Oryzias latipes: one gene and its partner. The protein of the gene in region 1 purifies or fractionates together with the protein of each later gene. This does not show direct contact. Links are inferred from orthologs where the notes say so. Each region holds a gene or a part of one and is shown on either strand. Other genes may lie near its edges.

Evidence for each region. Proteins that work in one complex are often made in the same cells at the same time.
Region 2: the proteins of CCR4-NOT transcription complex subunit 6 (region 1) and cnot1 purify together in Homo sapiens (affinity purification with mass spectrometry; 5 studies listed by BioGRID and IntAct, with this or other methods). This does not show direct contact. The link is inferred for Oryzias latipes from reciprocal best matches to the Homo sapiens genes CNOT6 and CNOT1.

The regions. Positions count from the first base shown.
Region 1 is NC_019868.2:16,541,072-16,545,165, forward strand, and holds the start of CCR4-NOT transcription complex subunit 6, read left to right. Parts: upstream 1-1,294; 5' UTR 1,295-1,539; intron 1,540-2,497; 5' UTR 2,498-2,507; coding exon 2,508-2,619; intron 2,620-4,094. Other genes in the region: simc1 (SUMO-interacting motif-containing protein 1), read left to right, coding at 593-804. UniProt on the Homo sapiens protein: Poly(A) nuclease with 3'-5' RNase activity.
Region 2 is NC_019864.2:25,892,733-25,896,232, forward strand, and holds part of cnot1 (CCR4-NOT transcription complex subunit 1), read right to left. Parts: intron 2,875-3,500; coding exon 2,767-2,874; intron 2,452-2,766; coding exon 2,353-2,451; intron 1,537-2,352; coding exon 1,468-1,536; intron 1,307-1,467; coding exon 1,252-1,306; intron 946-1,251; coding exon 742-945; intron 661-741; coding exon 492-660; intron 246-491; coding exon 119-245; intron 1-118.

The sequences.
Region 1 (4,094 bases):
TTGCCTGTTTTCTTTTTACACTGAGAAATTCCAGAAATCAGGAAGAATTCCCACTGTGTTTTTGTTTCCTGAGTCACATGACAGCTAAAGCAACAGACAGGCAAACAACCATTGATCTTTATTATGGCTGTATATTGCTTTGGGAATGGATGTGGCACAAACATGATGGTGGCAAAGCCAAAACAGGTTCTCTAGAAGTACATTAAAAATAAATGGCTTGATGAAAGAGGAAACAGATTAGTTGTGGAGCTAAACGTCATCCTGAATGAGGAGACAAAAGTCAACCAGGAAGTTGTGTTTTAGACCAATCAATGGGTAGGTCTCTCAAAAAATAGATTTTGTTGACAGTCTTTCTTTTATTTAATATTGATTTTTTAGATACTCATTAAGTTCTAAAAGTTTCTTTTATTTGCCACTATTGAGGAAAGCATATACAGTTTAAATTATAGGGAAACAAGGCAAAATAGAGATGGAAACTCCCAAAACTGTTGTGGAAATATAATTTTATGTATTCGTTTTTTTTACTGGTAAAAAAATTGTATGCACTCGATTGTCCAAGTTTATAGTGTGTGTGTGTGTGTTTTTTTATCAGGCTACCTGTCCAGCTCCTACAGAAAACAAAGCGACAAAGCAGGCCCACCAGTTTACAAGCCGCATGACATGGTATCAAAGGCTGCTGTCCGAGAAGCTGTGGAGGCCTTCCTGTCCAGATCCCAGGCTGATCTGGACCAAGCCTTACCTCTTCATGTGGAGGAGTCTCTAACTTATCTGCAGGATTACCTGCTAGATATCTGTCATAATTAAACTCAAAATGTTCTTGTCTTTTTTTTATGCTGATTTTTTTTTTTTTTAATAAAAATGAACTATATGTTAAAAGAAATAATTTATTAATTTTGTTGTGATTGTACATGTTTTGGAGGCCTTCCTGTCCAGATCCCATGCTGATCTGGGGCTAAAGGCTTTACCTTTTCTGCAGGATCCCCTGCTAGATGTTGAATTCAAAATGCTCCTGTACTTTTTGGTGCAGAATGTGTTCTTTTTTTAAAATCAATTATATATTAAATATGGTTTATTTATTTTGCTATGTTTGTATTATAAAATGTTTTAATGAGTTTAAATATCACTCTTGAATAAATTTTTTATTGTTTGTATCACTGTTGAATACATTTTTTGTTTTGCCCTGAAATACCTTTGTTTATTTTACATGATCTTCCTCCTCCTCCTCCTCTTCCTCCTTACAGATTGGACCATTACATCATTAGCTTGGACTCAGTGATAAACAGCTCATTCCTTTACGTATAGATATTTTCCAAACAACTGGCGGTAAATTTAACCAGAACGTAAAAGTGCGGTGTGGTGACACGGTCCAACACCTGGTTGAACCCTCTGCTCGGTGAACCAATAAGACGCTTCGCTCTTATCGGCACCGAAAAAAAAGTCCTCACAGTCGCCATGATGATATAGCAGCGGAAACGGAGAAGTAGCTAGAAAACAAAAGAGAACACGCAGTTGTCCTCGCGGATTGGTATGCTCTTGCAGGTAAACATGCCATCCTTTCGGTTAGGAGTCAATATAGGTCTATTATTTGGTCACGGCGTCTCCAAGATGTGTAAATCGCCTCCGTCGTGCCACCAAGCTAGAGCTTATTTTTGTGGAAAGGCGCTAAGCTTCAAATAATAGGAACATGTTAGCTTTTAGCTAGTAGGCTAAGCTAAGCTAAAGAGCTCGCCATTTCTTTTAAGCACCGCATGTTTATAGTTTATTTTTGTTTTGATGGTTTTAAATGGTATGTTCAAATTTACATTTAAGTGCAACTGTGAAATTTACCCGAAAAGTTGTTAAATAACGCTAAGTAATGTGTTGTGGCCTCGTGTTTATCATGCGCAATTGTGGTTTGCCATTATGTAAACAAAAAGTGGTAGATAAAGCTACAAAATCTGTTGATATTTTTTTTTCAGGGTTATTTTGGAAAGTTATTGTGGGCTGTAAACGCAATAAACTCCACGAACCCCTTTTCTTTCTCACAGGTGGATAAGGTTGTTGCTTTGTTATGACTAGTTCGATAGCTTAAATTAGGTTAAGCTAGGCTAAAAATCAGTTAGCGACAGCGAGCATAATCGCCAAAACCTCGTTGCATTTTTACTGATATCATACTCTGTTTTCTAATTCTGCTCAGTTTTATCCCTTATACTGGAACATAGTTTTCAGGTTTGTGCAAAAGCGTTGACATGTATTTTTATTGCCTTTATGTAACAGCTGTTAATCAGTGTTTGTGGTTTATGTTTTGCTTCGGAAATGATAGCAGATTGTTCATGATTGGCCAGATGATGAAAACCTTTAGCGTTCTTTGAAGTTCATATAATAAGATGTCACTTCATAAATAAAAACATAATATTTGGGATTTCATCCTCATTTTTGTGTACTTTTAGAAATAGTAACCCTATGAATGTCTCACTTTTTCCATTGATGGGTTTTTAACATGAATTGATTTCTGCAGTGCTATAGGAATGCCCAAGGAAAAATATGACCCGCCGGATCCGAGGCGGATGTACACAATTATGTCCAGCGAGGAGGCAGCAAATGGGAAGAAGTCATACTGGGCTGAGCTGGAAATCAGTGGTGAGTGTCTTTAACCTTTGTAGACACATCTGCTCCTTCTGAGTTTTTGTAGTTTGCATTAAGATGAGAAAACAAAAAGTCATGTTGTATTTGTAAGCATATTCAACAAAATTGGAATATTAAGATGGGTGTATTGTTTGTGTATAGGTGTAATCCTTCATAAATGACAGACCTGATTATTTCTGTTAGTGCAGCAGCATTACACAGTAGTAATTAACGATTACCGGTAGTGAAAAAACAAAACAACCTAAAGCTTTTAGTCATTATCTCCACTCTGTGATTGTTGTAAGTCTTATTCATTGGAGCACACAAGAGCATAAGATGAACTTGTAAACAATTATTAAAAGATAAAAAATTGTGTTCAAATTTGGGGAAACTGTTTTAATCACCTCTAAACCTTTGTGGTCCATTCTTTTGTAGAAGTGTAACAATTATTCGATGAATTGATTTCTATTCTTACGATCCAACCAAATGAATCTGTCTGAGGCAAGTTGTTAATCGAATCAAATCCCATCAACCTCTACGATAATATCGTTTAAGAATGAAAGAAATCAAATCGACATTGGAAAATACCATTTGGATTAAGGTTTATTTTACTATAATGTGAAAAGCACCATCACAGAGGACAACACGCATGTGATGGCAGCAAAAAAAATAAAGTCATCATTTCAGTCCAGTGTGTGGAAACACTTTGAATTTTGCAAAGACGTGACTATTCAATGTGGTGGAATTATCTTAATAACGTTCCCTTGGGATTATTTTGATGTGGAAAAAAAAGAGTGGGCTGAACTTTATGAAACTAAAATGTGAATGATTTGTTATTAAGTCTTGTTTACTTTTTTGTTTGTACACATATTTAATTTACACTTGATTATCTTGCAAGAAATACAAGGAATCTAGAAAACTTCACCTGATCTGTTCAGTACTTTAGTATTTCTTTCTGAGTCACGCTGGTTGAATTGTTGGCTAAAGATATCTTGGACCGATTTTAGGCCAGTGAATCGGATCTTATTGGATTGTTCTAAATGAACCAATATCAGTTTTGAATCATATCTGCAACTACAAATTATGATATGAATTGAATCCTTGTTAAAGTGAATTGTTACACCCCTATTCCTTTGCAATGGATTGCACGGATGCAAAGATGCACTTTCTTCACGATTCGCTTCAAACTTCCTTTTTTGGGCCATGGTTTTATTGCCCTTTGATATATGATTTGTGAATTACAAAACAACAACAAATAGCAAATAACAATGAATAAAAACATTTTTTGGAGGGTTTACTAAGCCTGGTGTGATGGAATTAAACAAGAAATAAAAAAAATTCCTCTTGAATTTAACACCAAAGTGTTTGACACTTTAAACGTAAGCATGCTGGTATGCCGTAGAAATGCAACCATTCATTTTCCACACAATTCGGTCTCGCGGCATCCCAAGTAGATTTTATATTTTCAAAATGAGTTCAGTCAGAAATGT
Region 2 (3,500 bases), on another chromosome or scaffold:
ATGAGCTGGTATAACAAAAACACTGGATTAACTTCCAGAGCATTAAGATTAGCTTTTCTTTTTATGTTAAATCATCAAAGTATGTTGGAGGGCTGCTTGCTCTTTGAGGCTGCCTCACCTGCAGCGAGATGCCATCGGTAAGGCCAGAGTGAGTTCGAGCCATCATCCCCAAGACCCTGGCTACCTGGCTGGCAGTCACCTCTCTCACGCCATACTGGAGGATTATGTTCCTGCATTCATCCAGACTGGAAAGAAACAGATTAAAGCTGATTGTTGTGGCAGAGCTTCTCCTGAGAGGATCCAAACAGACGTCAAATTAAATGACTAATGGATGTTACTAATAGAGAACTGCTTTCAGGGCTCTGCAGCATTTCTCACAGACCATCATTCCAAATAGTTCTACATCTGAAAGGACAGCAGGATGCCACTCACAACCTGGATTGACTGTTTTTGGGGGAATTATGTCAGCTTTATTAGAGTGAGAAACTCACCTAGCACAGAAGCCATAGCCCACTTCCTGAATGAAGTCGGCAAGAGAACTCTCCATGGTGGTCTTGGCCAACTCCCCCGAGTCTGGTAAGATCCTGTCCATAGGAATGTCCCGTTTTTCAGGGTACAAAAGTGGTGCGAGCACCACAGGGCAGCGCTCCTGGGGAAAATCTGAAAAACAGCATCATTTCTGTTTGATTCTACAAAGTGACAGATGCTGAGGTGTCTATGGATTGTACTGGACCTTCGTACCTCGGCAAAGGGTCTTCAGGAAGGCGTCAATCTGCTCCTGCCCTACCCCACTGGCCCCCTTCTGACCGAATAGTAGATGGGAAAGCAGCAGGTGCAACACCTCTATAGGAATATCCTGGAAGCCACCTTCCTGGTTTCCTCCAAGATCTGCGTCGACGTATGAGCGGAGGAGGTCCGGGAGTTTCTGCTTGATGAACTGTGCAGCTATAGCAAAATATCAATTCAAAATTCAAAACTTTCTTTGTTTCATTATCAACACCTGAAATGTTATCCAACACTGAAGCCAATAATCTCATTCTCTACAAACCCAATAGCTATGCCGATTAAAATTCAAACATTTATTAGGTTAATGAATGTTAAAAGAAAAATATTCGAACATAATTGAGGACATAAGAAAATAACTGATGGCAGATTTTCTCTTTTCCCTTTAACTGTCTCTACATTTAAATTGCAAAGATAAATGACACACTTTAAACATCAGAAGGTTTAGGGAAAAGCAAAACCACTTACAGAAACCTCGAAGGTCTGTGTTGCTGGAACTAAGCAAGGCAAGGCCAAAAATCACCTGAAATTAATTAAATCATGTTAGTTTCTACAGGAAACCATCTGGAAAAAGAACATTTTGGTAAAACATAACTTTTTAGTCCAAACAACCTTAAATCAAAAATAATGTCATGACTATAAATAGAGATCAGTAAAATGCAGTTGATGGTTGAACCCACTCACCTCCTGGACCTTGCTGAGCTTGAGAACTTTACTGAGCTGAGCGAAAAGGTGGGCTGATGGTTTTAAACTCTGAAAGACAGATCCAGCACAACATGTCAACACAGCTGGGAAGGAATCCTTAAATGTAAAACCATGTTTTTAGGTGCTAAAAGTAGGGGTGAAACGGTACACTAAAATCTCAATTCGGTTCGGTTCAGAATTTCATACGGCTTGGTTTGATACATTTTCTGTATTATTTCGGTACAAAAAGGCAGAAAAAAAATCACTTACAAAGTGCATTTAATGGTTTTATACAACGATAAATAAAACTGACCTATGTAAGTGATCTGCTGTATAAAATAATACAACTATTAGCTGTCTGGAACCAAAAACTGGATAATTACCACTGGCCTGAAAAGAAAAAAAACATTTTAACTTGCACATTTTTTTCTCTTGTAGACCCAATTTTTACAGTCGGGTGATGCCGTTTTAAGTGCGTTAACAGATTGGATGTTTTACTGTGGCATACGCTATCTTCGTGTAACAATAAATGTCGAAACACAGCATTATCCAATTGTTTTTTCCTTTCATGCAAACACGGTCCAACTATGTGTACCGTTCCACCACTAGCTAAAAGTAAAACAACGTTAAGGTCATCAGTCTTAAAAAATGTGCTCAGTAATTTAAGATAAAAGAAATTCACGTTTTCATTCTTTTTACCACAGACAATGGGCTTTTTTTAAATAAATCTGGTGTTGCAATAGTTCATTTTCTGCAATACTGTTACATAATCTCATCTGATTGTGACAGAGTAGCTGTAAGCGTCCTTAACACAAGCCTAAATGGGCAAAGTTGACCCTTCAGGACAAATGTGTGCGTGCATGGGTGTGCTTTTGCGTTTCTTACCTTCTGGTAATGCAGAGGATTGTCAACGGCGTAACACAGAGTGGAGATAAAGTTGGGCTTTGAAATCAGCGACACACACTCCTGGATCAAAAACTGTGTCTGAACAATCAGAGGACAGTCAGGCAAACGACAGAAAATACATTCAACGTAAAAAAAAGGTCAATTAATTATCAAATCAAACTTTATTTATAAAGCACTTTTCATATAAAAATATAACACAAAGTGCTTTACATTAAAACACAACAAAATATAAAAACAAGCATGACGATTAAAATAAATAAATAAATAAAAATAAATAAATAGGGCCCCCCACTCCTTTCACACCTCCCACCCCCTAACTGATGGGAAAAGACACAGAGATATGGGAGTATTATGGGAACCGAGTAAATGCTCTAAAAAGGTGAAATTGCTTACCTGGTGAAAGTCCTTTCCACTGCTTTTACCATCGCCACTGAAATCCACATGGGAGAAGAGACAGCGTAGTAGATGCCTGTCTGCCTCAGGTCCGTGACGATTTACAATCTACAACCAAACAAAGGTTTTAGAGCAACTGTACCACAGCTGGCAGACTGAGCAACATGTTACAACTAAGACAAGGAGAAAGCACTGAAAATTCCTTTTGCTTTCTTATTTTGCTCAAACAAACATCCAAAACATGATTAGACAGACGGACCAAGCTGACCAAATCTTTAGGTCATTCTTCTGAGAAAAAGGATTATTTCTTGACAAATACATACACACAACAGATCTTTTCTGTTATCTTTTTTTAAATTCCCTGATAATACAATCATCTATCAGGAATGCAGGAACTATCTTTCAATGAAAAATGTAATACTTTTGTTTGTTCTGATCCAAATGGTTCACAGAAGATGCAAAGGCCAATTTTTCTAACTAATTTCTTTAACAATTCAACATGTTTGAAAAAAGGATTTCAAATCCAATTAAAATGTTTACGTTTTTCATTAAGCTTACTAACACAATCAGCTTGTCTCTTGTATACTCCCACAATGCATTGTACTACAATTAAAAACAATTCATCCGTTTTTTTTAAAATAATCTACTGAACAAACATGAGACCAGTAGGAGCAGTTTTAAAAAAAATGGAAAAATAGAATCAATATTTATTATTTATCTAAATCGAAACATCT